7 linked regions of the Nothobranchius furzeri genome follow. The main gene of each other region encodes a partner of the protein of the gene in region 7 in a complex. Links are inferred from orthologs where the notes say so. Each region holds a gene or a part of one and is shown on either strand. Other genes may lie near its edges.

The links.
Region 1: thoc2 (region 7) and chtopa share a complex: the UniProt entries of both Homo sapiens proteins name them as parts of the transcription/export (TREX) complex. The link is inferred for Nothobranchius furzeri from reciprocal best matches to the Homo sapiens genes THOC2 and CHTOP.
Region 2: thoc2 (region 7) and sarnp share a complex: the UniProt entries of both Homo sapiens proteins name them as parts of the transcription/export (TREX) complex. The link is inferred for Nothobranchius furzeri from reciprocal best matches to the Homo sapiens genes THOC2 and SARNP.
Region 3: thoc2 (region 7) and thoc5 share a complex: the UniProt entries of both Homo sapiens proteins name them as parts of the transcription/export (TREX) complex. The link is inferred for Nothobranchius furzeri from reciprocal best matches to the Homo sapiens genes THOC2 and THOC5.
Region 4: thoc2 (region 7) and alyref share a complex: the UniProt entries of both Homo sapiens proteins name them as parts of the transcription/export (TREX) complex. The link is inferred for Nothobranchius furzeri from reciprocal best matches to the Homo sapiens genes THOC2 and ALYREF.
Region 5: thoc2 (region 7) and thoc7 share a complex: the UniProt entries of both Homo sapiens proteins name them as parts of the transcription/export (TREX) complex. The link is inferred for Nothobranchius furzeri from reciprocal best matches to the Homo sapiens genes THOC2 and THOC7.
Region 6: thoc2 (region 7) and thoc6 share a complex: the UniProt entries of both Homo sapiens proteins name them as parts of the transcription/export (TREX) complex. The link is inferred for Nothobranchius furzeri from reciprocal best matches to the Homo sapiens genes THOC2 and THOC6.

The regions. Positions count from the first base shown.
Region 1 is NC_091751.1:23,238,791-23,242,656, forward strand, and holds the end of chtopa (chromatin target of PRMT1a), read right to left. Parts: intron 1,762-3,866; coding exon 1,584-1,761; intron 1,513-1,583; coding exon 1,360-1,512; intron 1,274-1,359; coding exon 1,071-1,273; 3' UTR 636-1,070; downstream 1-635. UniProt on the Homo sapiens protein: Plays an important role in the ligand-dependent activation of estrogen receptor target genes. May play a role in the silencing of fetal globin genes.
Region 2 is NC_091755.1:36,673,261-36,676,969, reverse strand, and holds part of sarnp (SAP domain-containing ribonucleoprotein), read right to left. Parts: intron 3,104-3,709; coding exon 3,060-3,103; intron 2,950-3,059; coding exon 2,879-2,949; intron 1,550-2,878; coding exon 1,498-1,549; intron 716-1,497; coding exon 639-715; intron 272-638; coding exon 234-271; intron 114-233; coding exon 88-113; intron 3-87; coding exon 1-2. UniProt on the Homo sapiens protein: Binds both single-stranded and double-stranded DNA with higher affinity for the single-stranded form. Specifically binds to scaffold/matrix attachment region DNA. Also binds single-stranded RNA. Enhances RNA unwinding activity of DDX39A.
Region 3 is NC_091757.1:44,994,380-44,998,847, forward strand, and holds the start of thoc5 (THO complex subunit 5 homolog), read right to left. Parts: upstream 2,973-4,468; 5' UTR 2,858-2,972; intron 2,637-2,857; 5' UTR 2,635-2,636; coding exon 2,536-2,634; intron 1,860-2,535; coding exon 1,716-1,859; intron 1,488-1,715; coding exon 1,374-1,487; intron 1,018-1,373; coding exon 920-1,017; intron 697-919; coding exon 550-696; intron 432-549; coding exon 317-431; intron 1-316. Other genes in the region: tfip11 (tuftelin-interacting protein 11), read right to left, coding at 4,268-4,468. UniProt on the Homo sapiens protein: Component of the THO subcomplex of the TREX complex which is thought to couple mRNA transcription, processing and nuclear export, and which specifically associates with spliced mRNA and not with unspliced pre-mRNA.
Region 4 is NC_091752.1:50,607,278-50,611,742, reverse strand, and holds the start of alyref (THO complex subunit 4), read right to left. Parts: upstream 2,850-4,465; 5' UTR 2,723-2,849; coding exon 2,483-2,722; intron 2,219-2,482; exon of another isoform or gene 1,986-2,218; coding exon of another isoform or gene 1,779-1,985; intron 523-1,778; coding exon 364-522; intron 279-363; coding exon 131-278; intron 15-130; coding exon 1-14. UniProt on the Homo sapiens protein: Functions as an mRNA export adapter; component of the transcription/export (TREX) complex which is thought to couple mRNA transcription, processing and nuclear export, and specifically associates with spliced mRNA and not with unspliced pre-mRNA.
Region 5 is NC_091743.1:56,272,724-56,276,615, forward strand, and holds thoc7 (THO complex subunit 7 homolog), read right to left. Parts: upstream 2,300-3,892; 5' UTR 2,213-2,299; coding exon 2,194-2,212; intron 1,987-2,193; coding exon 1,863-1,986; intron 1,759-1,862; coding exon 1,631-1,758; exon of another isoform or gene 1,332-1,630; coding exon 1,245-1,331; exon of another isoform or gene 1,127-1,244; coding exon 1,069-1,126; exon of another isoform or gene 991-1,068; coding exon 924-990; exon of another isoform or gene 832-923; coding exon 762-831; exon of another isoform or gene 690-761; coding exon 628-689; 3' UTR 524-627; downstream 1-523. UniProt on the Homo sapiens protein: Component of the THO subcomplex of the TREX complex which is thought to couple mRNA transcription, processing and nuclear export, and which specifically associates with spliced mRNA and not with unspliced pre-mRNA.
Region 6 is NC_091745.1:30,134,596-30,138,764, forward strand, and holds the start of thoc6 (THO complex subunit 6 homolog), read right to left. Parts: upstream 2,987-4,169; 5' UTR 2,856-2,986; coding exon 2,841-2,855; intron 2,274-2,840; coding exon 2,182-2,273; intron 2,109-2,181; coding exon 2,044-2,108; intron 1-2,043. UniProt on the Homo sapiens protein: Component of the THO subcomplex of the TREX complex which is thought to couple mRNA transcription, processing and nuclear export, and which specifically associates with spliced mRNA and not with unspliced pre-mRNA.
Region 7 is NC_091750.1:48,368,599-48,372,307, forward strand, and holds part of thoc2 (THO complex subunit 2), read left to right. Parts: intron 1-71; coding exon 72-164; intron 165-347; coding exon 348-503; intron 504-629; coding exon 630-802; intron 803-893; coding exon 894-1,089; intron 1,090-2,456; coding exon 2,457-2,495; intron 2,496-2,576; coding exon 2,577-2,707; intron 2,708-2,871; coding exon 2,872-2,973; intron 2,974-3,210; coding exon 3,211-3,295; intron 3,296-3,709. UniProt on the Homo sapiens protein: Component of the THO subcomplex of the TREX complex which is thought to couple mRNA transcription, processing and nuclear export, and which specifically associates with spliced mRNA and not with unspliced pre-mRNA.

The sequences.
Region 1 (3,866 bases), on a different chromosome or scaffold from region 7:
GAACACACCTAAGATGCTCTTCGATCAGCTTGAATCAGTCGGCCCATTCTCCTCTGACCTCTAGCATTAACAAGGCATTATCGCCCACAGGACTGCCGATTACTGGATGTTTTTCCCTTTTCACACCATTCTTTGTAAACCCTAGAAATGGTTGTGGGTGAAAATCCCAGTAACTGAGCAGATTGTGAAATACTCAGACCGACCCGTCTGGCACCAAAAACCATGCCACGCTCAGAATTGCTTAAACCACTTTTCTTTCCTATTCTGACCTTCAGTTAAGAGTTCAGGAGATTATCTTGACCAGGACCACACCCCTAAATGCACTGAAGCAACTGCCATGGGATTGGTTGATTAGATAATTGCATTAAGTTAAACAGGTGTTCCTAATAATCCTTTAGGTATGTGCGCACACACACATGGTTCACAGGATGTAGTATAGAGAAGTTTGTAGGTCTTAGGTTTGAACGTCCAACCTTCTAACTGGTGACGTTTTCCCAGTGAGACACAGCCATGGAAACCATGTCCCTGTGGGCACCAATCGCAGAACAAAAGCTAAGATCACACCAGGACATCTGCTTTTCTACATGCTCCAGAACACCTACAGGCCTTAAATGTTTGACATGAATCAGAAAATATCTCATTCATCATTTTATTTCCTTAACACAACTTGGGAAATAATTTTAAAACAAACATCTTGTCAGCTTCACGGAATACAAACAACCCAAAGCCTGAGCACTTCTTTCCCTGTCAAATATAAGAGAAAATGACTCGTCTTAAAATTCTTGTAAAATTATCATTTTAAAAAACGTTTCCACTGCAAGTTTAAGATGAGCCAAAGAAACTCTGGAGGTTTGAGGAAAAACTAAGAAAAACTAAACAGTTTACACCAAACACCTGTTTGACTAAAACTTCATACAGGAAGTCCGTGGACATCAGGGTCAAAGTCCCCTTGAGTTTATTCATCAGCTGATTGGCTCTTCAGCAGCAGGTGGATGCACGGCTAAACAACAGGGTGCAGCAACACCACTTGACGCTACGCCCCAGTCTTCAGCTCTGGTCTCGCTGGGCCGTCACTCCATGCTGTCGGGATCTGCCTGGGCCATGTAGGCATCCAGTTCTGCATCCAAGTGTCCCTTGGTCTTTGACATGTACGCATCCAACTGATTGTCCAGTTGTTCCCTTGTAACGGTGGGCCGGCCAAGTCCTCTGCCCCGCCCACGGCCGCGGCCCCCACGACCAGCAAATCCCCCACGTCCACGAAGTCCACCACGGCCTGAAGACAGAACATCATCAGTGAGACAGTGAAAAAAAAAAAGACACGAGTCATCAAACGATTGTACTAATAAATACAAACTCTACCCCGGCCTCTGGGCATTCCACCTCGACCTCCTCCTCGAGACAGAACTCCTCCTCTTCCTGCCACTCCTCCACGATGCCGACCTCCTCTACGCATGGGGAAGCGTCCGATGCCCCCCCGACCTCTCATAGGTCCACCTGTAGGCATTCGCCTGGCTGTTTAACACAATGTGATTGCTCAGCTGAGAGGAAACACCCCTACCATCTCCACGCTGACGGACACCTACCCCTCAGAGAAGACAGACCCCCACGAATGATCCCTCCTCTCAAACCCCCTCTGAGGCCTCCTCTGGTCATCCCCCGCATGCCTCCTCTTCCTCCAGGAGGTCCACCCCGCATCAGAGGCCCAATGGGCCGGCCCAGCCGGGCCTGGATGTTGCCTTTCCCCAGACGTTGCTTTAGGCTCTGGTGGTTCAGAAGGATCGGTCACAGCAACAAATCAGGAACACAAATAAAGCGAAGCAAGAGTAGGTCCAGCTTGTTATCCCAGCTTTCCATCAGACGCGCGAGCGTCACAAAATGTCCACAAAGCGTAGTACGTAGCACTTAGCTTCTATTATATTTACCTGTAAAACCTCTGTGACTGAGGTAAACAGTAAGTACACCACAGACCTGCTAGGATACCGTTACCATCTTTCTCCATGCTTGTTATCACGTGAACCGCTGAAATCATGCTTGATCTAGCGTTTTCCTGTGATTTTGTAACGTTGTGGGTCCAGCTGTGACACATTCACTGCCGCTTCATGTCAGAAAATCTCCCGGTGAGACGATATGCACCGCTGAGCTCGTGAGGAACCGCGTCACTTATGCATCCAGTGGAAAGCTCAGGTTAAGCCGGGTGTACACTGTGCGACTTTTTCACTTTTTTGAGCCGATTTTCCACTCGTGCGAGAATCCACGAGATCGGGGCGAGTTTTGCGCTGAGCGTCGTGTACAGGGGGCTACGAGAGGCGATTAACACCACGTGACCAGCTACCGATCAGCAATCGTGAGCTCGCACAGACTTCTGGCGTGTTTAATATTTTGCTCGTCCCTCGTGAGGGTATCGCACTGTTGAAGCGGCGCTGCGAGCAGCTGCGACCCAAAAAGTACCAGAACCGCTCACGGCACATGCATGCATCAACACCGCTCGCCCGCTATTTCCCTAATAACACACGTTGTTCGTTTTTATTTTCTACACTTTTTTTACTCACAAAGGTTGTCAAGAAAGCGTGTTTGTCGTGTTCATGTCAAATTAAACTGATCACAAAACACAGATTTACTTTCTTTATTTTGTTTTCCTCATCCAACCCCCATAAATCCCTGTGTGTCCCCCTGCAGCACTCCCGAAGGACAACAGGCAAAACAAGACAAAAAAGTCTGACGTGTTGTGTAAAAACTGCTATTTTTAGCACATTTTTAGGGCCGACGTGTTGCTACCAGACGTACAGCGTGAGCAGTCAGATCGCATCCGAGAACTGGGTCGTGCAGTGTGAGCGCACGACTCGTGAGATCTGCTCTGTGAGGAAGTCGTACAGTTTGAGCTGAAGCTGAGTGCTACGAGTGAAAAAGTCGCACAGTGTCCGCCCGGCTTAAGGGTACAACAAGACTATTTGGACATCTCACCCCTGATTGGCTAACAGCAACACAACTCTACCACTAACCTTGTTTGATTTGCATCATTGATGTTTTACCTCCATAAATGAATGAGTTCTACTGTATAGAGTAGCAGCTAATGCTAACAGTTAGCTTCTATTAGCCAAGGCAAGCTCTAGTCTCTCCTGAATGCTAAACCAACAACTGCCTTCCCCATCTTGAGCCAAGATGGCCGAGTCCATGAATGTTAACTTACTGTGAGGTAGATCTGACTGGCTTTGCTAACCTGAGAATTTCCTCGTCTGTTTTCTATCGGCTAATGCAGGAAAAAGGGGTAGAAGACTATTCACATATTCAGCCTGCATGTGAAACTCAGAGTGACCAATCATTTAAAAAAATAACACATAAAAATGGTTTCTCAGTGAACTTGTTCTTTAAACCTTTTATCAGCTATAAAGCAGCTCGTTTCGATTTGATCGTTGTCTCACTCCCATTTCTTTTTTGTTGCACATTGAAGCTCTACTTGGGACCTTGTTAATGACCAACCAAACAAACACGACGTTTGGCCATTTTCAAATGGTCTTAAACTTTTGATCAGGACTGTACTTCCCAAACAGCAAATGCATCTTCTGTCAGGCTTGGGTTTGGTTTCAATGATAATTCACTGATAAAACCAGAACAGAATCTTTCTGACTTGAGAACCCATCAGACCTTTGCTAACTTGTGCCCTTTTCCCTACTGAACACAGCTTTAAGCCTGATTTATGCTTCTCCGTCTGCGTCAGTGCGGAGACACGCAACGCCATTATCCGTCCTTGCGTAGGGATCCGGCAGGCACGCAAGTCCGTACGGAGTCGAGCCCACTTTTTTAAACATCCGTCGAACGAGACGGATTACGCAAGCCTGTGATTGGTCAGGACGCCGCTGTTGTTTACA
Region 2 (3,709 bases), on a different chromosome or scaffold from region 7:
ACCTAAAGAGGACATAAATTAATCGTTAAACCCATCAGGACTCCACCAGCCGGGGATCTAAAGATCCATCTGCTCGTCAGGACTTACTGCAGCTTTACTGTTGGCAACAGCCCCTGTAGGAGTGCAGGGAGAGAAAACATCAGCAAACCTCATCACCTACAGCAGGATCACGTTATTCTTTTACTGGTTATTAACTCTGCTTCTAGCATTTATGAACACAGCCGGGTCAGTACCTGGAGAGGGACTGGTAGCATCAGTAGGTAAACCAAACCTGCACACACAAGGCAGATCAGATCCATATTAATATAAATATAACATTTAATAAAGAGTTATGACACATGCCCGCTGCAGTGGAAGTGTGGGAACAAATCCTTCAGTGTTCCCAGTCACATCAGGGATAATATTTAAATTAGAGGCTTTGCATTCATTCAAGGAATGCATTATGTCTTCCTTACTCAGCATCTTTTAATATTTCTAATGAAAAACAGCCCAAATCTACTATTGAATCAGGCTAGTTAAAAGTAGATAAAAACAACAGAAAATAAATATAGATGCAAATGGACGCTCCACAGATCTAAACCCACACATCCTCCTGTGGGGTGTGTGTGTGTGGTGTGTGTGTGTGTGTTCAGCCTCACCTCGCAGCACGGATGGCCTTCTTGCTCTCAGCTGAGGCTGGCATGTTGAAGCGCTCAGCTCTCTTCTGTAGTCTCTGCTGGTGGAAAACAATTCAGTACTTTAGATTTAAATCCAGTTGTTTAAAATCAGAGCAGATGATGCTGACAAACAAACAAACAAACAGACAAACACCTGCTGGCAGCTGGACAGTTAGACCAGCGATACCTAAAAAATAAAACCAACCCCTCTGCAGTTTGCCATAGACCTTAAAGTAACCTCGTGTGATTCTGTGTAAAAGTTACTTAAAACTGCTTTTGCTTCCTGAACAGCCTCTATACAGAGAAATGGCATTTTCCTCCCTCAGGACTGATAGGCTAAGGGCTAGTTTAAACAAACCACCGTTATCTAAAACCATCTCTAATCTTCTAAACATCGCAGCAAATCATGAATTTATGTCATAAAACATTGATTTTACATTCCGGTTTTTCAGCTGGGTGTGTGGTCATTCACAAGTCTAAAAATCACCAACAGCAGCACTTCAGGTGCGTCCTTCCTTTATATTTCTGCCCAAATAATTATTTAGTTTAAACTTAACGATAATAAAAGTTGATTTATTAAGTAAGAACAGCTGAGATTAATGGTAACAACTACACGTTGTCGCTTTAAAACACTTTGGTCTTAGCTGCACTCAGACTAGCTGTTAGGTCATCACTCCCATTAGAAACACCATTTCTCCACACAGAGGCTGTTCAGATGGAGAATATTCGTAACTGTTGTGCAGAAACTTTACTTCAGAACAGACATAATAATCCTGTTGATGCTAAAGTTGGATTAAAATTGGATTAAAGGCTTCCCCGTGTGAGAACATGCCATACATACGTCGCTGGCAGATGATGGAGGAGCGATTTTCACCACCTTCTTCTCAGCAGGTCTGAAAGGAGGAAATATTATGAAATGGGTGTAACTAAATCAGGAGATGCAGCTGTGAGCAGATACCTCAACAAATCTGACCCCTGAGACTTGTGAGTCGACACATGGAAGAACCAATGAACAAGCACTATCTACTCTTTCAGCTAGCTGAAAGAATAGACTTCATACGGAAATTTTCCGGTGCTCCGCATCCAAATCTGCACTACACTGCAGCACGTTTGAATGCTCTGATTGGACTCGAGCAGTTCTGGTCCACGCAGAAGCCGTGCGGAAACCAGACCGCATGTGTTCTGCATGCAGTGTGAAAGCAGCTTTAGTCAGAAGCCGAGCACAGGCGTCCTGAACCACCTGCAGACGGTTCAGGGAGGTTCTGCTCAGACACGTGAAAAGAGAGTTGCTGTAGTCTAAGCGTGAGGAGATGAAGGTGTGGAGAACAGGGCTGAACGATTCTGGAAAATAATCTAATTGCGATTTTTTTCTTCAATATTGCAATTTAATTCATGATTATTTTCTCAAGGGGCTTTTCTCATATTTTTCAACCAACGGACGCAAAATAAATCTATGTGACTTGTAATGAATAAAAACAAGTTTACATAAGCACAAGTAAAGACAAAATGTTGTATTTGAAGCTGCGATGCTTTGCAGCGAGGAGCACATCCCCTGAAGGAGCATAGGTATTAGCAACACCTGTGAGAATGTATTTGCAGGAAAGAAGTGTGTCCCGTTTACTGAAGTCTTTTGTGTTTAGAATTTTTGGCGTTTTGTCCATGCAGAGCTTCCATAGTTCAGCTAAGTCCATAGCTGCTAGCCAAAGCTCAGTGGAGTTAAAGTCTCTTACAGTTTTCTAGCTTTCCTAAAATATCTGTCTGTACTTATTTGATTGATGGCAGTTTTTACTTTTTATTAGACTTCAAATGTAATCATTTGGCATGTTCCTAATTTGTAATTTGTAAGAATGTAATCAGCAATATTAGCATTAGCATCCCTATGGGTTTTTCCATGTTTATTAGCATTGTGCTAAACACTCACTGCCAGTCAAATCGCCTTTGCGATTAGAAAATCTAATTTTGTCACATCGTGATTTAATTGCACATGCAATTAATTGTTCAGCCCTAATTGAAGGGTGTACAAAAAACTGACATGAGAATCCAGGGTGAGAGGGTGGGTCAAAGGTCACATCAAGATTCCTGACAAAGGGTTTGGTGTGAGAAGCAAGCTGACCAAGAGAGTCTCTGACTTTGGGAACCAGCTTGTCTGGGGCACAGATGAGGACCTCTAAAACCCGCCGGTCGTCTTTGTTAAATTGATAAATGAAATTTAAAGGACTTACATCTCACTCGCAGTCGTTTCAGTGTCTTCGTCCACTTTCACCGTGTTGGAACTCTCAACTTTAGTGAAGTCCTAAAAGGAAAATAGAAACTTTAAGTCTTCCTTTGCAAATATAAATCTACATCTTTGACAACAAGAGAACAGACTACAGAATATAGTCAGAATATAATCAATCATTTTACCGCCGTGTCCTCTGCCAGCACATCGTCTAAGTCCACATCTTCCTCTGCAAATAAAAACACAAGACAAGGACATTTGGACGCGAACCCAAAGAAACCAGCAAGATAAGAAAACAACCTACATTTGTGTAACTGAACACAACTGGAGTTTAGCCTGAATGGAACTTAGAAATGACTCAGTTGGATGATTTTAGGGTTTTTAAAATGATCCATCTGTGGGAAAAGTCCAGTTTGTGACTGATCTAGTTCAGTCTGAGGACGACATGCTGCTGGTTTATTGGGCTGAAACAATTCATTAAATTACTAAAGTATTAGACTCAGCGCTTTTAAACCAAGGGGAAGTCTAAGGCTGAGTAGTTACTTGTTTCACAGGGATAGTTTTTATTGTGGGACACCACGCTGAGACTATGCTCTGTGTAAATGACGAAGACAGAAAGTAAATGGGACACAAATCTGTAAAAAAAAGACCAAAGGAGCCAGAAGTTCAGGAGTCTTTCAAACACAGGAATAGCCAAAAGACTCAAACACAGTGTTCACTCCAATAGTAAAGAACATAATACAGACAACTGATGTGTTTCTAATTATTACAGACGTGTTTCTAATTATTACAGATGTGTTTTTAATTATTACAGATGTGTTTCTAATTATTACAG
Region 3 (4,468 bases), on a different chromosome or scaffold from region 7:
GCCTTGGTAAGAGTAGGCAAATGAAGCACCCCGGCCACCACAGTCCACCGCTGCCCCCGGGGCAGCCGGCCCCCACAGAGGAAACACTAGTTTACTAATGAGACTAAGATAACAGTTAAGAAACAAATTAAACATTAACAGCTGATAAATAAAATCTAAATAAAACACAGTGATAAAAGATGACCAAGTAGAAACATATAATTACATTTATAAAATATTGTATGCAATCATATGCAACCTCCTACTATCTTAAAGCGGACATGTTTCACTTGGAAGCGTAAAATTTTCATTAAAAATCTGTTTTTGTTATTTTTACCTGCATGATAGCATTCAGTCCTGGCTGCAAGCTTCTTAGATGCTCTTTCTTCACTTCAATGCTCTTCTGAATTTTCTCCTTTGTGGCCTGTGAGTCCTTGTATTTCTCAGCTAGCCTGTTTCCAACAAAAAATACTTTAATCAGCTGCTCTCTGCCAGACAAAGACTACACCGAACAGCAAAAAGTAACCACAATAGTACAAATGTGTACTATTTCGTGGTAAAGTTCTGTACCTCTTTCTCTGTTCGAGCTCCCAGTCCAGCCGTGCTAGTGTGAGCTGGTGGGGATCGGTTTTTGTGAGAGAAGGCCTGGAGATCTCCGGCGGGGCATCCTGGTAAAACTCTTCTTCACTCACCAAGTCAATTTCTTCATGCTTAGATCTTGTTAAGAGACGGAGAATTTAATTAGACATGACAGGATACTTTTCAAGTAGTGCTGAGAATGTTAAATTAAAAAGAAACAAATTGTTTAGTGGTTTCTTATAGAGATATGTTGTTACATCCTTAAACACTTTTAATAAAACTGATTATTTCATCTTAAATTATAAATAAAAAGTGTTGAAAAAACTAAAGGCTGAAGTCAAGTAAAGAATTTAGTACTAACTTGAACTCCAGACATTTGCTGATCTCCTTCTGAAGATGCATAACCTCATAGAGCAGATTTTGCAGCTGAAGGTGGAGCACATCAACTCTCTGTTTAGCCTGGAAACAGAAAAAGTAATCACCAATGAAATTTGTAAAGTAACAAAAAAAATAACCCTTTAAAAAATAATAAATGCATGCTTGTCAAAACTCAGCATTTGATCATATTAATGAATGTAAATCAAATTTGAAGTAAAACACTCAAAGCTTAACAAAGAACACAAAAACTAAACTGGTATTGCACATTGACTGTAGCCTTCACTGTGGTTGAATGTTAAAATGAAAAAGGTGCCTCTTGTTAAACATTCCTCCTGCAATCAGCACAAAACAAACAAACACTTTCCAGAAAGTAAACAAAACATTTTAAATTATAACAGTTTTTTTCCACAGTTCAAAAGTAGACTTGTGAAAATTACCTCATGTGTTTGGTCTCTGCCTCTTTTCAGTCGCATGTGAGCTAGACGGTTGAGCTTCTTAAGATTCATGAAGAGGATGCAGCTTTGCATACGTTTCTGCTCGACATCCATACTCTTAAAAAGAAACATTTATGTATATATATATATGGATATTTACTTTCATACCCATACACTTAACTTCAGATCTTACAGCTTTGATATGGCATGTGAAAAAGTCAATAAAAGAAACATCTGGAACAGATGTTTAGTAGAGATTTTCCAGCAGAAAAGGAAACGTTTGAAAAAGAAACTAAAGGAAAGTTGTATACTGCTGTGATGTATTGTAGAGATTATGGCTCTTACCCCTTCCTTGGCACCAGAGGCTTTCATCCTCTGGATCTCACTCATGAGTTTGGATAAAGCCTCACATGACTCTTTGTATTGATCAAAGTCCTGTTCAGGGTTCCTGCCATCCAATTCCACCTCCTCATTATAGACACGAACATCCTGGGAAAAGAAACAAGCATGCAATAATAAAACCATCAATAATATACTACTTCATAGTATTCTAAAGTTATTACACACCTACCTCACTATTGTTTTTGGGTTGCTAACATGCAACCTAGTGTTTAAAAACATAATGTGCTGTGAATATTCCTGTGAACTTGTTCAACATGAGATGTTCAATTGTTACCACAAAAACAGATTTAACCTTGTGTAATACTATGTGGATGAATTAACCGCAATTCAATATTCAAACACCTATAAAAACTATAACTTTGACTTTAAGGAACCTGTAGGACGTGAACTGAGAGGCAGAAAATGTCCCTGTTTGATTGATCATCACATAAAATAAAATGTGCAAACTCTGACATTTTTAACTGCCAATGTTCTGTATATTTGTAAACTCAACAGTAAGTACAATTAAAGCTTCAATTAGTAAATTCATCGCAGCAATGAAGTCCAATACTGGTCACTGAGAGCCACGATTCTGCATGTTTTAGTTATCTCCCTGCTCAAATCCACTGCTGTTTAACAGATTCGTGTTTTCAAGTTTACAGAGGCATGCTAACTATCCATTCATTCAAACTAGATGCTGCTGAAACAAAGATGCTGGACAGTGGGCCTACATGTCCATGATTGGACACCACTTATTTACAAAGTTCTGAGTGATTCTGTCTACCTGCTGGTCCGCCTCTCCACGTCCCCGCTTCACCTCCGGGGTTCCTGCTTCACTGCGGAGAACCTTCGATTTCCGCTTCTTAAGAACGTCGGAAGACATGGCTATTAGAATGTGAAAATAAAGAGTTTTAGACCGATAAAAAAACACCGATGAAAACATCACTTTAGTAACAATGACATACGGTTAGCATGCAAGCTAACACGGGCTAATAACCGTTAGCTTGTAGCTAACATCGGTATACTAAACTAATAGAACTAATATTTTGACGGATATTATGCGCTCATTGTGGTTATAAATAGTATGTTTTCCGACAAATACTCACTTGGTCCAAACTTACGTCTTTACTTGATAGAATAGTACACGTAAAAACGAGAACTCCCTCTACATACAAATTGTCGATTTAGGACGGAAGCCCAACACACAGACATACGTAATCGTAGACGCTCCAAGGACAGGCGCTGCCTATTTCAGCTGCCGTAGCGCCCGGTTGCCATCTTAGATGGGTCTCCATTCGCCTGCGGTGCATTTACATCTACTGATGAAGTTGCTGCTTACCCAACTAAAAACACATTATATCAAGCTTTTTAACCAAATCAGACACAATGTATGGCATAATTAAAATATAAATATAATTAAACGAAATAAATAAAAATAAAATAAAAAATATTATCAGGTAGGCTAGAAAAGGCACTAGTAAATCCACGTGATGTTTTTGCCGGGCATAGTTGATAACTCTGGATTGACTTTAGAGTGAGGAGGCAACAAGAACTGTTTCACAAATGAATTCCATATGTTCTTATCCACTTTGACTCGTATAAAAAATTCAAATGCAACTGCAAAAGCCATTTGTCATGCTGCCGAAAAATGTTTAATCTTGTAACAATGTTTTTACTTTGTGATATAAGTACCTCTTTTTAAGTTTATTTGTTTTTCTTTTATTGTTACTAAAGATGCCTTGTATGTTTCTATTATGTGTTGTTGTCTCACGAGAAATTTTAATAAGAATTTAATGATAATATTTAAAAAAGTGGAGGCCCATCCAATATGGCGGCGCCACTCTGGGTCTCATATCTAGAGCCCAAGAGTCAAAAAGCACTGCATTTAGCGCTAACGGAGGACACAGCGCGACCTACTGTCCTAAAAGCTACTGTAACTTTAAGAAATTCCACAAATAGTCATTTCAAAAATGTAAATGTAATATTATAAATTTGCAGACATTTTTCCATATTAGTTATTTTCTTTGTAAGTGTAATTCTCCATTTAATGCAAATGTATTCATAAAGCAGTTATAGATCTATCATATTGACACGATGCACAGTGTTTCAGTCCTATAAGAGCAATCTATTTGCATAGATCTTTGTTCATATTTTTCACTCTTTTGATTGTTACCTTGTATTGTGGCAATAAACTTAATTCTTAAGTGGAACATCTGTAAGTTTTTTTGCATCACGTACAATCAGAAGTTAATTTCTAATAGTTACATATGCAGCACCATTTGATACCCATCTAGAACAAACTTGCATCAAACTAAAAATTACAGGACCTAAATATATAATTTTCTACTTTGAAATCAATCAGTCTAACAACATAAGTAACATAAGTGTTTATTCACAGTTTGACAGTGTTTCAAATTTACAGACTTGTACAAATTATACTGAAATCCTCTTAATACATAAAACAGTTCTGCTACTCTTTTCAGACTTAGCAGACTAAATGATGAGTGTGTCTGAGCTCACTTTGCCATGTCGATCAGGCTCTGCAAAGATGTGGGAACCCAGGTCTTCTCTCCTTGCACAAACACAACACCCCTGTCTATGAAGATAACAATACGCCCAAATGTGTACAGCTGTTTCCCCTCATGCCGTTTTCCCACTAAAGGCATGAAGACAATGTTGTTCTCCTCTGCCTTGGTTTGAATAAGATCTTTGAAGTT
Region 4 (4,465 bases), on a different chromosome or scaffold from region 7:
GTTCATAGGTCGCCCTGAGGAGAGGAAGTGATCCACTATAAATCAGCTCAAAGGGGGTTGAACACTCAAGAAAGTTTGAATTATTTAGTCATGTCAAACCAGAAAAATGTAAACAAGGTCTGAAGCGTACCATCCAGTGGGATGCCGTTGTACTGTTTCATGGCCTTTAGAGCGTCAGCTCTCCTTTCAAAGTGGACATCTGCTGTTCCTAAGCTTCTTCCCGACCGGTCGTAATGAACTGCAGCTTTCTTCAGAGTTCCGAATTCCGCAAAAAGTTCCTTGAAAAAGTACATCCAAGATTAGTCTAAGACAGCAACAAGCCATAAAACACAACCAACCAGTGAAGCGCGGATTTTGGAGTACCTGAATGTCTGCATCGGAAACACCGAAGTCGAGATTGGAGACGAGGAGCTTCCCTCCAGTTTCCACACCAGCTCCCCCGCCACCCCCAGCAGCACCATTGAAGCCACTGAAGCCGTTGTCGAACATGTCGTGCTGCCACTTGTCTGGGAGCTGTTTAGGCTGCAACAGATGAAAGAGAACGCACCTGCTGACTTCAGGATCCCCTTGCCTCTGCCCATCACTGAGTCCACACGGCTGGCTGTTGGGGCAAGCAGGGGGCTCCACTTCCAACATGGTGCTCAGCTCCCTTTAGAGGGGGGGGGGTCCCCAGTATTCCCTGCCCACCCCGTCACAACGAGCAAGTGCATCAGCTCAAAGGGACGTGCACACAAATACTCAAAAGCAAGGGGATTTGTAGTAGTCTCGCTTCGATTCAAATTTTGAACTTTTTTAAACGTTAACACACCAATGTTGGGCCATCTTAAATCGGAATGTGTACAAACATCACAATAAAGTCCATACTGATTTAAGTTAGTAAAAACATGCTCAAACTAGGGATGCAACGATACCACTTTTTTCCAAACCGATCTTAGTACTCGCCGATACCAATACAGATACTTCTACCACACAAAAAAAAAAAAAATGCAATGATTTGGAATGCAGATTTTACTTTCTTCTCTGCTTTCAACAGGAAAAGACTGTGAGGTAGATAAAAAGTAAAATATATGAATGGAAATCATCACAAAACTAAAATATTAGGTGAACAGAAATGACAAGTTACAGTGAAGCCATTTTCAAGCAACTGCATTGGTATCGGTTCCTGGTATTGGTTAACTTTCACCGATACTGGTATTGGTATCGGTGCCGATACCAGTATCGTATCGGTGCATCCCTAGTTCAAACTCACTGGTTCCCAAAGTTAGGACAGGACACCAATGTTGAGATTATCAAATTTAAAAATAATTGACATATATGAAGAGAAAACATCTAAACAGACCAACTGACAAGCGTTTAGTCTTGGTGAAAGTGGATGGAGTCATCTTCCTGTCCTAATGTAATTGTCTTATTGGCTATTTGTACGTGTCCGTCATGAATAATGAAGGTTTTTAATCACAGATCTTGTAAATCAGAAGTTAAAAGATCTGGGAGCCACTTGTTTCAATCACTCTAATCAACTGTCTAAAGAAAAATGGTCCCATTAAAGCCCACTTAAAATAAAAATGTATTCTTTAGATCCAAGTTTGATGTAGTAAATGGATTAAAAACAAAACCATAAAAACAAAACTCAACAGTCCTGTTCTGGGTTTCTAGTGAAATAAACCCTAGAATAGACTAACGAGCCTTTCCAGAAACCTAAGTATTACCATCACAGATATTTCTTAAACCCAAACCCACAGACTTGATGCTAAACCTGTAAAACTCCTCAGACTAGCTACCAGAGATGCCCATTGTTCTCGCCATCTGCGCCTCCCTCCAGAAAAGCCAGCTCCTCGGGACACTCGGGGACTCCTGTTCGATGCAGCGGCGTCTCCAGCGCTGGTACTTTGTGTCCTGGACCTCAGAACAGTTCTCAGTAGGGGAAGAGTCCGTGTGCTGGATGAGGAGTGAAAATGGCCAGATCTCCCCTCTGCGTGAGCGTCCATTTTGAAACCACGCCATTTTGACTGGGGCTTTGTTTGGCTTCGCTACCAACTCGATCACACTTTAAAAGACGAAGAACCGGTTTTGTTTGGGCACTAACAGAGGAGTAAAAGTCCGCTTTTCCATCCACAAGTAACAGGCAAACTGGTAGAAAAAGCCACCAGAGGGCTTGAGAACCCACTCCCCGAACAAAAGGCCGCCTGGTCGCTGCGCTGGCGGGAACTTGAGCACATATCCCGCTCCGACAAGCAGTGAAAACACACTTTCGAGTGATACTCTTGACGAAGTGGGTTTCTTTCACCACCGTGGCCAGGATACCTCTCACTGAGCACTCACTGACGACTAGCTTCACAATGCGGGGCTGGATTCAAAATGGCGCTGAGGGCCTCCACTCCTTCCGTAGGCTGTTGAAGCTCGACGTGCGTTACACATTTGGGTTGCGGGAGAAGGGACACAATATGAAAACATTTCTCTGCTTATTCCTCTAACATTCTCATACCCTGCTGTAAGGCGTAGGTCTGCCTCTAGCGCGACTCAGGTTCTGTCGATTCCTCATGGGGCCGGATCCACCGCCTCGGCCTCCAAAGCCTCCGCCGCCGCCTCCGAGTCGCCCAGCGCCTCCACCCCGGCCGCTGCCTGTGCCTCCGCGGCCACGGCCTCTTCCTCCCCGGCCTCCACCTCTCTGCTGCCTGCTCTGTTTGATAATGTCGTCTAAAGACATATCCATCTTATCGGTCATTTTGCTGCCCCAATAACGCTAAACTTTGAACAAATTAAGAATGTTACACCCTAGACACGGTCGGTCCCTCTCCCTGTCCCTTTCAAGGCTCAACGGTGTCTGATTCTTGTAGCAGCTGCTAAACACAAGTAGTAGAACACGACGTTCTCTACGTAAGCCTGACGTGAGTACGTGAACGTGATCCCCTCTACTGTCGACGATGAGGCGGAACCGGGCGGAGCATGTATCTAAAAGAAACCTTGACAGGAAAATGTGCGAATTGTGCAAAAGTTCTACACAGATGTGGTAAAATACAGAACAAATAAATAAATATTTTTTTGACAAATATGACATATAACATTTGATCGAAACTAAAACTGTAAACTGAAGAAATAACCGGGAAAAACTAAACCACATCAATCATCAATTCTTAAAAGAAACTTTCACAAAGTCAAGGATTTTAAAATAATATAGTTAAGTGTTTAAAGAGCAAGACACTCCCAGATCAACTTTTTTCTGATAAACTATATAAATGCGTATCTAACCGTGCTGCAGACACGTGTAGTTTTGCACTTTTGTGCATTTAAGTTAAAATTTAAATTTTCTGCCTAAAACTGTGAGTGTTGTGCCGTTGTCAGGTAAAAACTCTGCACTGCATTTGAATTTAAATCTGCCATCGTTATTGGCAAAGGGGTACCCTAGAACGTTAGCTGGTAGCATATGATGTCACAATGTCGTTGTGTGTGTGTGTATTTGTTAGCGGGCCCGCCCTCTTGGTCTGCTAGGCAACAGAATTTGTTGCATTTTTCAAACAGGAAGTGGGAGCGGAGTAATACTCTGGTAGGGGGTGACTTGCTCTTTAAGCAGTTACACAGAACTGGTGATGGCTACTGACCCCTTAGATTTCTAAACTTTTGCTTTTTTTTTTTTTTTTTTTTGCACAACTAACCAGTTTTGGGTTGCTTTTAGCAGCCCCTAGTGTTCTGTTAGTAAAACCAAAAGTGAAACTGTGCATTCACCTTTTTAAACACCTTAATCCATAATAATGTCTCCCCATCCTTCCTTAATTTCTACAGGAGCAGCTCATCACTAAATTGACCAAACCAGCAGTGTTTATGATCTAAAACATGCAGGAAGCAGACTGCAGCACCAGGCATGTCAGCTCCACAAGTCCAACTCTGAAGTTGCAAGTGCGACATTCTGGCCATAGAGGGTGGTCGGGGTCTGAGTGACATTTCATTAACCCTGTACAGGGTTGTTTTAGCACACACTGGCTCAAGAAAATTTTAAAATATGAAAATTTTGCAAAACACTTCAGATAAACAATTATTTGATCTTTCAAGGGAAAAAGCAGCCAAAACCTGGCACTGCATGCCTATTTGTAATAACTGCAATCAACCATTTGCTTTTGAGATCATTGAGCCTACTTGACATTGTCAGACATGTCTTACTTTTACAGGTCCGGCTAGAAACATTCAACCTAGCTTTCCAAATAACATAGTTTATCAGTTAGTGTGATTTAAAAGGGAGAGGACAGAACCTTCTCCACGTATTTTGGATAGCCCCCTCTAATAATTGAAATAAATAAAAAATAAAATGCCTTTAGAATTTACTCAGTATCAATAAAACATGTTAGCTGAAGTCTGACCCCTCCACCCCAAAAAACCCCAAAACAACAAAAATCATGAATCTGAATCCACAGAAGCAAACGTACTGTAAAAGTCTTTTATTCAATATTTTGTGTAAAGGCTTAGAGGAGAAGGG
Region 5 (3,892 bases), on a different chromosome or scaffold from region 7:
GCATGATGTTGTTCTAGACTTTATGGTTCGGTTAAAACAATTTACAGGGGTTTGCAACAAAGTACATAGTGATCATTCACATAGGAAGTCAGAGGCTTTCTTTCATTGTGGTTTATTTACTACATCAGTAAATTTTGGCATTCATTTTTAAATAAATGAGCAAAACCATAATTCTTGTTACAGACGTCTTATTCTCAGAAGAATGTAATTTTGTGAACTTTAAATCAGAAACTATTTGATAGTTTGGTATGAAAAAATGATAATTTAGTATGAAAAAAATGATAATTGGGTTTAATGACACTTAGATTTTACAAGTATTCAAACTCTCACTTATAGTGCAGAAACTTCCAGAGAAAATACAGCACATATGAATGTTCAACAACTGTTCTGTCCTTGACTGACGCGTATTAAATTTCTTTTCTGATCAGAGTTTCAGTTGATTTTCTTAAAAGCCTGGAAGCTTTGGTTACATTTTTACTGAGATTATTTTAATGAAAAGAGAATATAAGAATTAAAGATATACTCCAAGATGACAGCTTTATTCAAAAATACATACAAAAAAGGATTCTTAGACAAACTAAATTTCAATTAAAAGCTGTGACTCCTTCAGTTGGGCTCTTTATGTGTTCAATCCCCATTCTCCATGGGACTCTCCTGACTGTGGTCGTCACTATCTGACTTTTCATCATCTAGGAAAGACAGGATAGACGATGAGGGCAGCTCTGACAACAGTTTGTCTGTATAACCAAGTGGCTACTTACTTTCTAGTGTCTGCTGCAGCTCCTGAATGGTAGTAAGAAGAACATGAAACTGCTTCTTCCTCAACTCCAACTAAAGAGAATGCAAACATGGCATAAAAAGTCAGTAAAAATACAACTAAATCTGATACTTTAACAACATTAGGCCGCTGTGTTTGAGTTTACCTTTGCATCTACGTTCTCTTTGATGTGAGACAGTTGCTGGAGTTCTTTATCGAGTGCCTCCAACTGCCTGGAAGGTAAAACAAAAATGAGCACTTTATTGAACATGAAGGGGAGCTTGACATGTTTTATCGATAGGCTGACTTACTGGAGTGTTTCATGTCTGTCTGGGTGTTGCTGGATTACCTTTGCTAAAGCATCATATTCTTTGGAGAGACAGAGAACAGATACTTAAAAAAAAGTTTACATCCTTTTGACAACGCACATTTGATACCACATCTGGTAATTTTTCTGTAAATACAACAGATGTTAAAATGTCCTTACCCTGGCGATTTTTTCGTATTCTCTTGGCACGCAGAATTTCTTTTTTGCATTCTGTGATCTTCTCATGTGCAGATGTGATGTTTTGTTCTGCGAGGTGCGAAAGAAAAAAGTTTGATTAGTGTTAATTGGGCGATGGTGGCACAGGAGTTAAGTGCTCGCCCCATAATCAGAAGGGTGCAGGTTCGAGCCCCGCTCAGTTGTAGCTACGATGTAGCTCATCACCACCAGTGTGTGAATGTGTGTGTAAATGTCTGATTGTGTTGTGTTGTAAAACGCCGTGGGGGGTTCCAGGACTAGAAAGCTCTATAAAATACAGGCCATTTGGCATGTATGACTAAAAGAATTAACAAAAAATTCTGTGACATTGAAAACAAAGCCGATCTTACCTATGTTTGCGTAGATCTTCTCATAATTCTCCATTTCACGAAGATTCATGTCATAAACCATCAACGTCTTTCCCATAGAAAACTCACACTGAGCCAGAGTAGCCACCATCCTCTGGTACTGAGTGAATCTACACACAAAGAGCCCAATGTTCAGCATTTCACTGCAGTTGTGTACTCGGCATTCAAGATGTTACAAGCAAAAACTGGAGACAGATATATTGCTAGCTCGTACCCTTCTTCTAGGGTCCCAGAAGGTGAGTTGCACCACTTGGTGAAGCTCTTCAGCAGCAGATTGATTCGGCGGTCATCTCCAGCTCCGTCACCGTCAATGAGAAGACGTTTTCGAATCACCTCATCTGTGGAACATGCAATAAAGCAGCTGAAGAGCGTTGAAAACATAATGCATCTATGCTAAGTGTGCTAGCTAACGTCGCTATTACAGGTAGCATTTCTGGGTATTTTTCCAGATAATAAGGCGCAATTTACAATGTTTTAAACTTAGACGAAAACAAAAGTAAAGAGTAACTTAAGTGCTGAAATTAGTTAATGATAAAGCCACAAACCATCAGTTACAGCTCCCATGTTGCTGTTTTTCTTCTTCTACTACTTCCGTTCTACTGGTACTGATTGATCTTTTGTCTTTAGGCAACTCAGACACAGCTGAGCTCGTTACTGCCTTATCTGGTAAGAGGACGTTACTGCATGTTGTGATCTTTTCGCTTCATCTTCGTTAAATAATGTGGATTTTAAGTATACAGTGATTACAGTGATTATGTGACACAGAGATTTAGTTTAAATGCAATTTAGTAATACCACTAGGTTTTTTTATCACACAATCAATTACAAATTACACAATCAAGTGATGAAATTGAATTACGGTAGAATACATTTTTCAAAGGCAAAATGAATGCTGTAATCACTTTTTGCTGTGTAAAAAAACGCCTCAATTATGTATGAGCAAAGCCCTGCTCATAAAAACAGCATATGTTGTGTTTGGTGCTGGTTTAGTGGTAGATCAGCATACAATGCTGGTCTAGCAAGATGGTTCAGCATCCAGTCACCAGCTTCCCATACTGGACAGGCATTGTACACATCTTTTAACACAAAACCCTAAACTTTTGCAGCTGTTCAAAAATAAGCACTTTCTTGACATCAAAACGTGTCTTTAAAATTCACAGACATATATGTGAAATATATGGCACATATCAAATAGGATTAGATTAGGATTAGAAAATAGCCTCTCCCTGGGCTGCCACCTTAGCGTGGTGGAGGGGTTTGAGTGCCTCAATGATCCTAGGAGCTAAGTTGTCTGAGGCTTTCTGCCTCTGGTAGGGTCACCCACGGCAAACAGGTCCTAGGTGAGGGATCAGACAAAGAGCAGCCCGAAGACCTCGTATGATGAATTATATAAATGGAAAACGTGTTGCCTCACCCGGACGTGGGTCACCGGGGTCCCCCTCTGGAGCCAGGCCTGGAGGTAGGGCACATTGGTGAGTGCCTGGTGGCTGGGCTTTCACCCACTGAGCCCGGCCGGGCACAGCCCGAAGAGGAAACGTGGGTCCCCCTTCCCATGGGCTCACCACTCGTGGGAGGGGCCAAAGGGGTCGGGTGCAGTGTGTGATGGGTGGTAGTTGAGGGCGGGGACCTTGACGGTCTGATCCTCGGCTACAGAAGCTGGCTCTTGGCACATGGAATGTCACCTCTCTGGTGGGGAAGGAGCCTGAGTTCGTGTGTGAGGTTGAGAGGTTCCAACTAGATATATTCGACTCACCTCAACGCATGGCTCTGGCTCTGGAACCAGTTTCCTTGAGAGGGGTTGGACTTTCTACCACTCTGGAGTTGCTCCCACTGAGAGGCGCCGAGCAGGGGTGCGCATACTAGTTGCCCCCCATCTTGGTGCCTGTACTTTGGAGTTTTCCCCAGTGAATGAGAGGGTAGCCTCCCTCCGCCTATGTGTGGGGGGACGGGTTCCGACTGTGGTCTGTGCTTATGCACCAAACTACAGTTCAGACTACCCACCCTTTTTGGAGACCTTGGAGAGGGTGCTAGAAAGCGCTCTTTGCAGTGACTCCCTCATTCTGCTGGGGGACTTTAACGCTCACATGGGCAATGACAGTGAGAACTGGAGAGGTGTGGTTGGGAGGAACAGCCCCCCTGATCTAAATTTGAGTGGTGTTTTGTTATTGGACTTCTGTGCCAGTCATGGATTGTCCATGATGAACACCATGTTCAGACATAAAGGTGTCCATATGTGCTCTTGGC
Region 6 (4,169 bases), on a different chromosome or scaffold from region 7:
GGTCGGCGGCCGCCTGGGGCCCCCTTATGATGGGGGGCCCCCTAGCCCTGACTGCTGGCACCCCTCCGTTAATGCCACAATGGACTATTCCTTTAAGACGCCGGTGCACAAACAGGAAGTGATTGGTAGTCATTCCACTCCAATCCAGTTGGTGGCGGTAATGCACCAAATTGTTGTTTGCCAAGTGCCATAAGACCACAAATAAGAAGAAGAAGAGAGGCGGGAGCGTTCGCAACAAATTCTAAGCGATAGTCAAAACATGAAGCATGAAATGGAGTTATCCTAGTGGCTCCAATAAGAGAAAGATGCTGCTTGCTTTAAAAAAGCCTTTATCTTCACTTCCATAAGTGACGTTGTTTTTCAATGTAAACATCAAAAGGAAGCAGAAAAGGAAAGAAAATCGGAAATGTTTAAAGGGAGGAAAACAGACCAAAATGGAAAAAATAGAAGAAAAAAAAGAAAGGACACAGGAGCACTGACAGGAAGAAGAAAGCACTCATAGGGAGAGAAAGACAGGAAAAAAGAGGAGGACTAATAAAAAGTGAAAATAACTCATGTCAGAAGAGGGAAGTTTCACAAATCCAGTTAAAGATAAGATTGTCGAAAATTTAGGGGGCCTCATGTCTGTGTTCGCCTTGGGCCCCCGTCGTCTTCCTGCGCTTATCCGGGTCACGGGGGCAGCATCCCAACTAGGGAGCTCCAGGCCGTCCTCTCCCCGGCCACCTCCACCAGTTCCTCCGGCAGGACCCCAAGGCGTTCCCGGACCAGATTGGAGATGTAACCTCTCCAACGTGTCCTGGGTCGACCCGGGGGCCTCCTGCCGGCAGGACATGCCCGAAACACCTCCCCAGGGAGGCGTCCAGGAGGCATCCTGACCAGATGCCCAAACCACCTCAACTGGCTCCTTTAGATCAGGAGGAGCAGCGGTTCTACTCTGAGTCCCTCCCGAATGTCCGAGCTCTTCACCCTATCTCGAAGGCTGAGCCCGGCCACCCTACGGAGGAAACTCATTTCGGCCGCTTGTATCCGCGATCTCGTTCTTTCAGTCATTACCCAAAGCTCATGACCAAAGGTGAGGATTGGGACGTAGATCGACCGGTAAATCGAGAGCCTGGCTTTCTGGCTCAGCTCCCTCTTCACCACGACAGATCGGCTCAGCGTCTGCAGTTATGCACACACTCGGCCGCGAACCTACCCAGCAAGAGCTGAAGGTCAGAGCTGGATGAAGCTAGGAGGACCACATCATCCGCAAAAAGCAGAGACGAGATTCTCCTGCCACCAAACTCGACACACTCCACACCACGGCTGCGTCTAGAAATTCTGTCCATAAAAGTGATGAACAGAACCGGTGACAAAGGGCAGCCCTGGCGGAGTCCAACCCTCACCGGGAACAGGTCCGACTTACTACCGGCTATGCAGACCAAACTCACGCTCCTCTGGTAAAGGGACTGAATTGCCCTTAACAGAAAGCCACCCACCCCATACTCCTGGAGCGTCCCCCACAGGGTGCCCCTGGGGACACGGTCATAAGCCTTCTCCAAATCCACAAAACACATGTGGATTGGTTGGGCAAACTCCCATGCCCCCTCCATCACCCTTGCAAGGGTATAGAGCTGGTCCACAGTTCCACGGCCAGGACGAAAACCACATTGCTCCTCCTCTATCTGAGATTCTCCAGTACCTTGGAGTAGAACTTTCCAGGGAGGCTGAGGAGTGTGATCCCCCTATAGTTGGAACACACCCTCAGGTCACCCTTCGTAAAGATGGCAACCACCACCCCGGTCTGCCACTCCACAGGAACTGCCCCCGGTGACCACGCAATGTTGCAGAGGCGTGTCAACCACGACAGCCCTACAACATCCATAGCCTTGAGATACCCATGATGAACCTCATCCGCCCCCGGGGCTCCGCTGCTGTGTAGTCGTTTGACTACCTCAGCAACTACTGCCCCTGAGATTGGACAGTCCATCTCCAGGTCTCCCGGCTCTGGTTACTCCTCGGAATGCGCACAGGTGGGATTGAAGAGCTTCTCTGAGGACTCACCTGTAAACGTCAGAACAGGCTTCTGGCTAGCGGTGGTGGCTTCTGGACTTAGAGCTGCAGCCAAGCTGAAACAAAAACACGGCAGGTGTGAACCTCAGACTGGTGAAAGGCGAGACCAGTTTCGCTGGTTTGTCCCACCTGAACAAGGCAATCTCTCCGTAGTTGTTTCCGGCCGCCAGGAAGCGTCCGCAGGGAGAAAAGCTCTGGGAGAAAACCGACATGTGGAGGAGCTGCGGACATGAAGAGATCGAGTTAATCCTTATTTAAACAACATCAGACACACATGAACGATCATATCGGCTGTTTTCAGATCCGCGTCGGGAGCATCGACATGGTCGGGAGGATGTGTGCGGGTTTTATGGCTGTTTCCAAGGGCGCATGGTCATTGGTGGGAACATGTCACGTGACACGGAGAAACCAAGCCCGGAAAATGTGTCTTCCTGAAACGGATTATCAAATCAGTTCAAACTACCTTAAAAACAGACTCTAACATCAGGTTGAACCTGGTTACAATAATATCTGTAACACTTTCAGATTTATAAATGTTTAATGATATCAGAGAACATCGTTATTTTGAAAGCTTGAATGTTTCTTCCTAAATAATAAAATCTCCGCCAGCAAAGAAATAAGTTAAAACCTGTACAAATCATACCTCATATATGTTTGTTTGCCTAGTAAACAGTTTAATGAGATTTTAACAATAATACGAAGAAGAGAAACACTGAATAGGGCTGCAGCTGGTTTTTAAAACATTTACTCTTCGTCAGAAGCGTGTGCGCGATAGCTATAATATTTACCTCTACGGGTCCCATTCTGCCTCAAAATCCTCCCGGTTCCGTTAAAGTCGCGGAGAAACAAGGGACAATGGAGCCAGCGCGGGAGAAACCATCGACATAAATATGAAACGAATCGGGTGGTGACGGAGAAAGACGCATAGATATGACGTATGATCAAGCATAGGATTGTGGGAGATGTAGTAAAGAGAGGGCTTGTTTCTGACATATCAGAATCGATCAGAATCAGATTTATTGGCCAAGTTAAGTTGCATTTACAAGGACTTTGGCTTCGGTAGATGTTAGCTGTCTAAACATACATCAAATAAATGATAATGCATTCAATTATCAGGGAAGAAGCACTTATTCAAAAGTAAAAAATAAATCAGGAATTAAATCTCGAACAAAGAAATACTTCCAAGTTCAGAAGAACCCTGTCATCAGGGTGCACGGGTGTGACAGCCAGTTGCAGAATGTTGAAAGAGACAGGTGTGTGATCATCATACAGAACAAAAATATGTGAGAGATAATGCATGCATGGCAAAGCCCACAACGTGACTCAAATGAAAAACACAAGTTTACTGCATGCACATTTCTACTGAATATTCACAAGCAAATTAAGTCCAAATATTCTATTTTGTCCTTATCTAAAATTTAATTTGTCTTCAGTTTGTTTTCCAGCTTGAGTTTTTTGTGTCCAGCAACCTGTGTGGTCTTATAGATCATAATAGACTAGTAGATGACACTAACATGGAAATTGAACTAGATATTCTGTATTAACAAGTTTAATCATGTAAAATGAGAACAAATAAATAAAAATTTCTCCAACAGGTAGATCTGGTGCTGTCTCTCACGCTCCATAAGGGAGTGCTTAACTAGAAGCACATCAGTCCTGTAACTGTTGCCGTTTAATCTGTTACTAATAAATATTAGTAATAGAATAGTAATAAATTAGATTAGTAATAAATATTGTGATGTGCTCTTTTTGTTATCCACTGCCCATATTGTCTATAGTGCTTTTATGTGACCTGCCTAGGGATTGAGGATTCACTTTAGCATTCCTATAGCCTAGTGAACTAGACCAAATTCTTGCTTTGCAAAGTTTGGTCTAGCAACACTCCACTGCAACCTCTGCAGCCCCAACAGCATTCTGGCTGGCCAATCACAGCTCTCTAGAGGGGTTTCAAACACATAAAGAGCTGTGATTGGTCCATAATGGTGAGCCATAGTGCTCTATCTGCTTAGTGAACAAATCACAGAGCTATATCCGCTTTGTGGGCCAATCAGGGCACTCTATATGCCTGGTGGGTGGGACGATGCAACAGAGTGAAACATGAGTATGTCACATTCATT
Region 7 (3,709 bases):
TTTGCAAACAGACTTTTTGAAGTAAATTAAAGGTAGAGATATATGAGTAATGTATTTGTGTATTTGTTCAGGAGCCCAATGAGGAAACACCCAAGTCCCTTTACCACATCGCTGCTGCCCTGCTTCACCATAACCTAATAGAGCTGGAGGATCTCTACGTGCATGTAAGGAGCAGGAATGCACAGATCAGCAGACATTTTTTAGCAAAGCGGTTTCCAGTCCATGCCTGTGTGACATGCTGCTAGTAGTGTTTTATGGCCTGTTGGTGTGACAACATGAAGGTTTCACCTGCAGTGATCTCTGTCAGATTATTACTTGCTACTTTTCTTTCCTCTTCGCTGTTCCAGCTGATGCCACTAGATGCCACCATCATAGAGGAGCACAAGCGAGAGATTTCAGAGGCCAAGCAGATTGCTCGCAAGCTCGTTATGGTTGTGTTGCCCTCCGAGAAAAGTGAAGACAAAGAGAAGGAGAAAGAAAAAGAAGAAGAGAAAAATGAGAAGGTATGACGGTGCTGAAGCTCATACTGGTTACATATAAATATGGATGGTGGGGGGGGTTGTTTAGACATGTCCCCTTCCTGAAGTGACAAAAGTAAAACCACGTTTGTCTCACATCTGTGTTTACAGCCACCGGATAACCAGAAGCTCGGCCTTTTGGAAGCGTTACTCAGGATTGGAGACTGGCACCACGCCCAGATTATTATGAACCAGATGCCTTCCTTTTATGCTTCTTCTCACAAGGCCATCGCGCTGGCTCTCTGCCAGCTCGTCCACCTGACTGTGGAGCCTCTTTACAGGAGGTACCGATTTCTTTAACGTCTCGCATACTGCCTGCTAATTGTTGCCGGCTGGGCAGAAAACATGGACTAGTGCTGTGCTGTTTCGTTACAGAGCCGGCGTTCCAAAGGGGGCGAGGAGCTGCAAAATGCAGCTACTGATGAACAAACGAGCTCCTCAGCCTGCAGAAAGCTTTGAGGACCTACGGAGGGACACATTCAGCATGCTGTGCTATCTGGGCCCTCACCTCTCTCATGACCCCATTCTGTTTGCCAAGATTGTCCGTTTGGGCAAAGCTTTCATGAAAGAGGTAAAAAAAAAAAATAATAATAATAATGTATATTAGGGTTGTCACGGTATGAAAATTTAACCTCACGGTTATTGTGACCAAAATTATCACGGTTTTCGGTATTATCGCGGTATTTTTTAAACGGTGTTGCATATGTTCAGAAAGCATTGATAGTCCTGTTCTACACAAACTGAAATAGTTTTGAAAAGGTTTAACAGTGTTTATTAAACCTAAAATAACACAAAGCCTTAGCAAAAGTGCAACTTTTCACAAGTAAAGGAACAAATAGCTTATTTTTCTGGAACATGTTACAGTAGTCAGTGCAGGTTTAAATTATACAAATCCAAACATTCAAAACATAAACAATATGTAAACAAATCAAAGAAACACCACTTGTTTTCTCATATACTTGTTTTCTTCATTATCAAAATGAAAATCTAAAACCCCAGTCCACACTTGACTTGAGCACTGTACAAGTCAACCTTAAAAAAATATGTATTTAAAATAAATAGCAACTTTAAACAAATTACTAAAATAACTACTACACTATGTAATCAAATCCAAATGTTCAAGTATAAATGGCATTGAATAAGTAAACAAATCAATGACAAGGAACTAATTGTATATTTCTCTTCATCATCAACAAATAAGATGCTTCATCCAGCAACAGGGCGTCCGTGACACGGTTTAAATGCTGGCAGAGGGCGCTGCGGCTGCAGTATATAGTGACTCGTTGCATTCTCCCTCAGCCAAAAGTCCTCGCGTCATGCATTTAAGCTAAAATGCTAATGTTAACTTACCTTGCACTGGCTGTAGAGACGTGGGTGATGGTCACGCAGATGTGCCATTAGATTCGAAGTGTTGCTGCGTTTTGCAGACACTTGTTTCCTGCACGTTCTGCAAACGGGATAGCCGTCTTCTATTAACTGTCCCTCAGCGTTTTTCAGAAATCCAAAATATGCCCATACTTCCGATTTAGTCTTCTTTGAGGGCTGATGGATGTCCTGGGCGCTGCTGTCTCCTCCTTCGGCCATTATTTCAGCTTCAAAGTTTTGGTGCCGTTGCAAACTAAAAAGTGCGTGTGCGCGCCGCGGGAAATTCAGCTGAAGCGACGGTGGCTGGTAAGGGTCACCGCGCCGAAACCGCGGCCACGGTAAACCCACCGAGATAATTTAGTTTTTTTAAAAACTGGACGGTTATTTTTATTGTCAACTTTTTTACCGGGGTTTACCGCTATACCGGTTACCGTGACAACCCTAGTATATATATATATATATATAGTAAAATATGTTGTAAAACACCTTGGGGTTCTAAGACTCTAGAAGGCGCAATATCAAATACAGATCAATTACCATTTTATTCATTTTTTTGTTGACTTTGCTTGACAGTACCAATCTGATGTCAGACCTGAGCTGAAAGACAAGATGGTAAATCTTCAACCCAATTTCCTCCCAGATAAACTGCCACCCTGACTGGTAAAATAAACTATTCACTTTGGTTCATTTCAGGAGTTACTGTTAAGTTGCTTCCTGAGCATCGCAGACCAGGTTCTGCTGCCGTCCATCTCTGTGATGGAGTGTAACGCCTGCATGTCTGAGGAACTGTGGGGGCTCTTTAAGCTCTTCCCTTATCAGCACAGGTAAACACACACACGCACGCACGCACGCACACACACACACACACACACACACACACACACACACACACACACACACACACACACACACACACACACACACACACAAAGCTGCCAGATTTTAAAAAACCCTCCTGAAACTTCCATGTTTTTGTATTTGTTCTCAGGTACCGTTTATATGGGCAGTGGAAGAATGAGACCTATTCTGGACATCCATTGTTGGTTAAAGTTAAAGCTCAGACTGTGGACAGAGCCAAATATATTATGAAGTAAGTAACTTGTGCAGGATTTGGTCGACTATTAGCACCATTTTCCTCTTTGGTTGAAAGTCAGTCCTGGAGCATCTCAGGGTAAAGTTTTTATGACTTAAACTGTAGATTAGAGCGCTACAATGATTAAAAGGGTTTTGTTTTCTTAAACTGACAGCTTTGAGATTGTTTCCTAGATTAATGGTTTTATTTTTAATCTGCCACTTCTTGTTTTGTTTTGTGTTTGTCTCTTTTTAGGCGTTTGACCAAAGAGAATGTGAAACAGTCAGGAAGGCAGATTGGCAAGCTGAGCCACAGCAATCCCACCATCCTCTTCGATTATGTAAGTGTGTCCTTCTTCCTTTTACTTGATGCTGCTGCAATATTTCTAGTTTTCTTTGGAAGAATGGTGATTTTTAGCATGCAATACCATTTGTTTCAGGCTTAGGAGCTCTGGTGCTTCTGAAAAAAAAAACTTGAATCACACCAGAAAAATAAAAGCAACTTCTTAGAATAACACGACAATTAAATGTTAAGTTTTCGTCATATTTACAGCATCACAGATGGATAATCCATTTATATTTAATTAACCACTAAAATACCAAAATGTTTTAGTTTTAATGAAAAGTGCAAGATAATTTGTCAAACAACATGTTTTGCCCTGTTGCTGCACACCAGATTTACAAAAATGCTCCTTTCCTGTTAATAGTTTTTCAATTAGAATAGCAATAATTGGCCAAAGACAGTTTTGGGATGG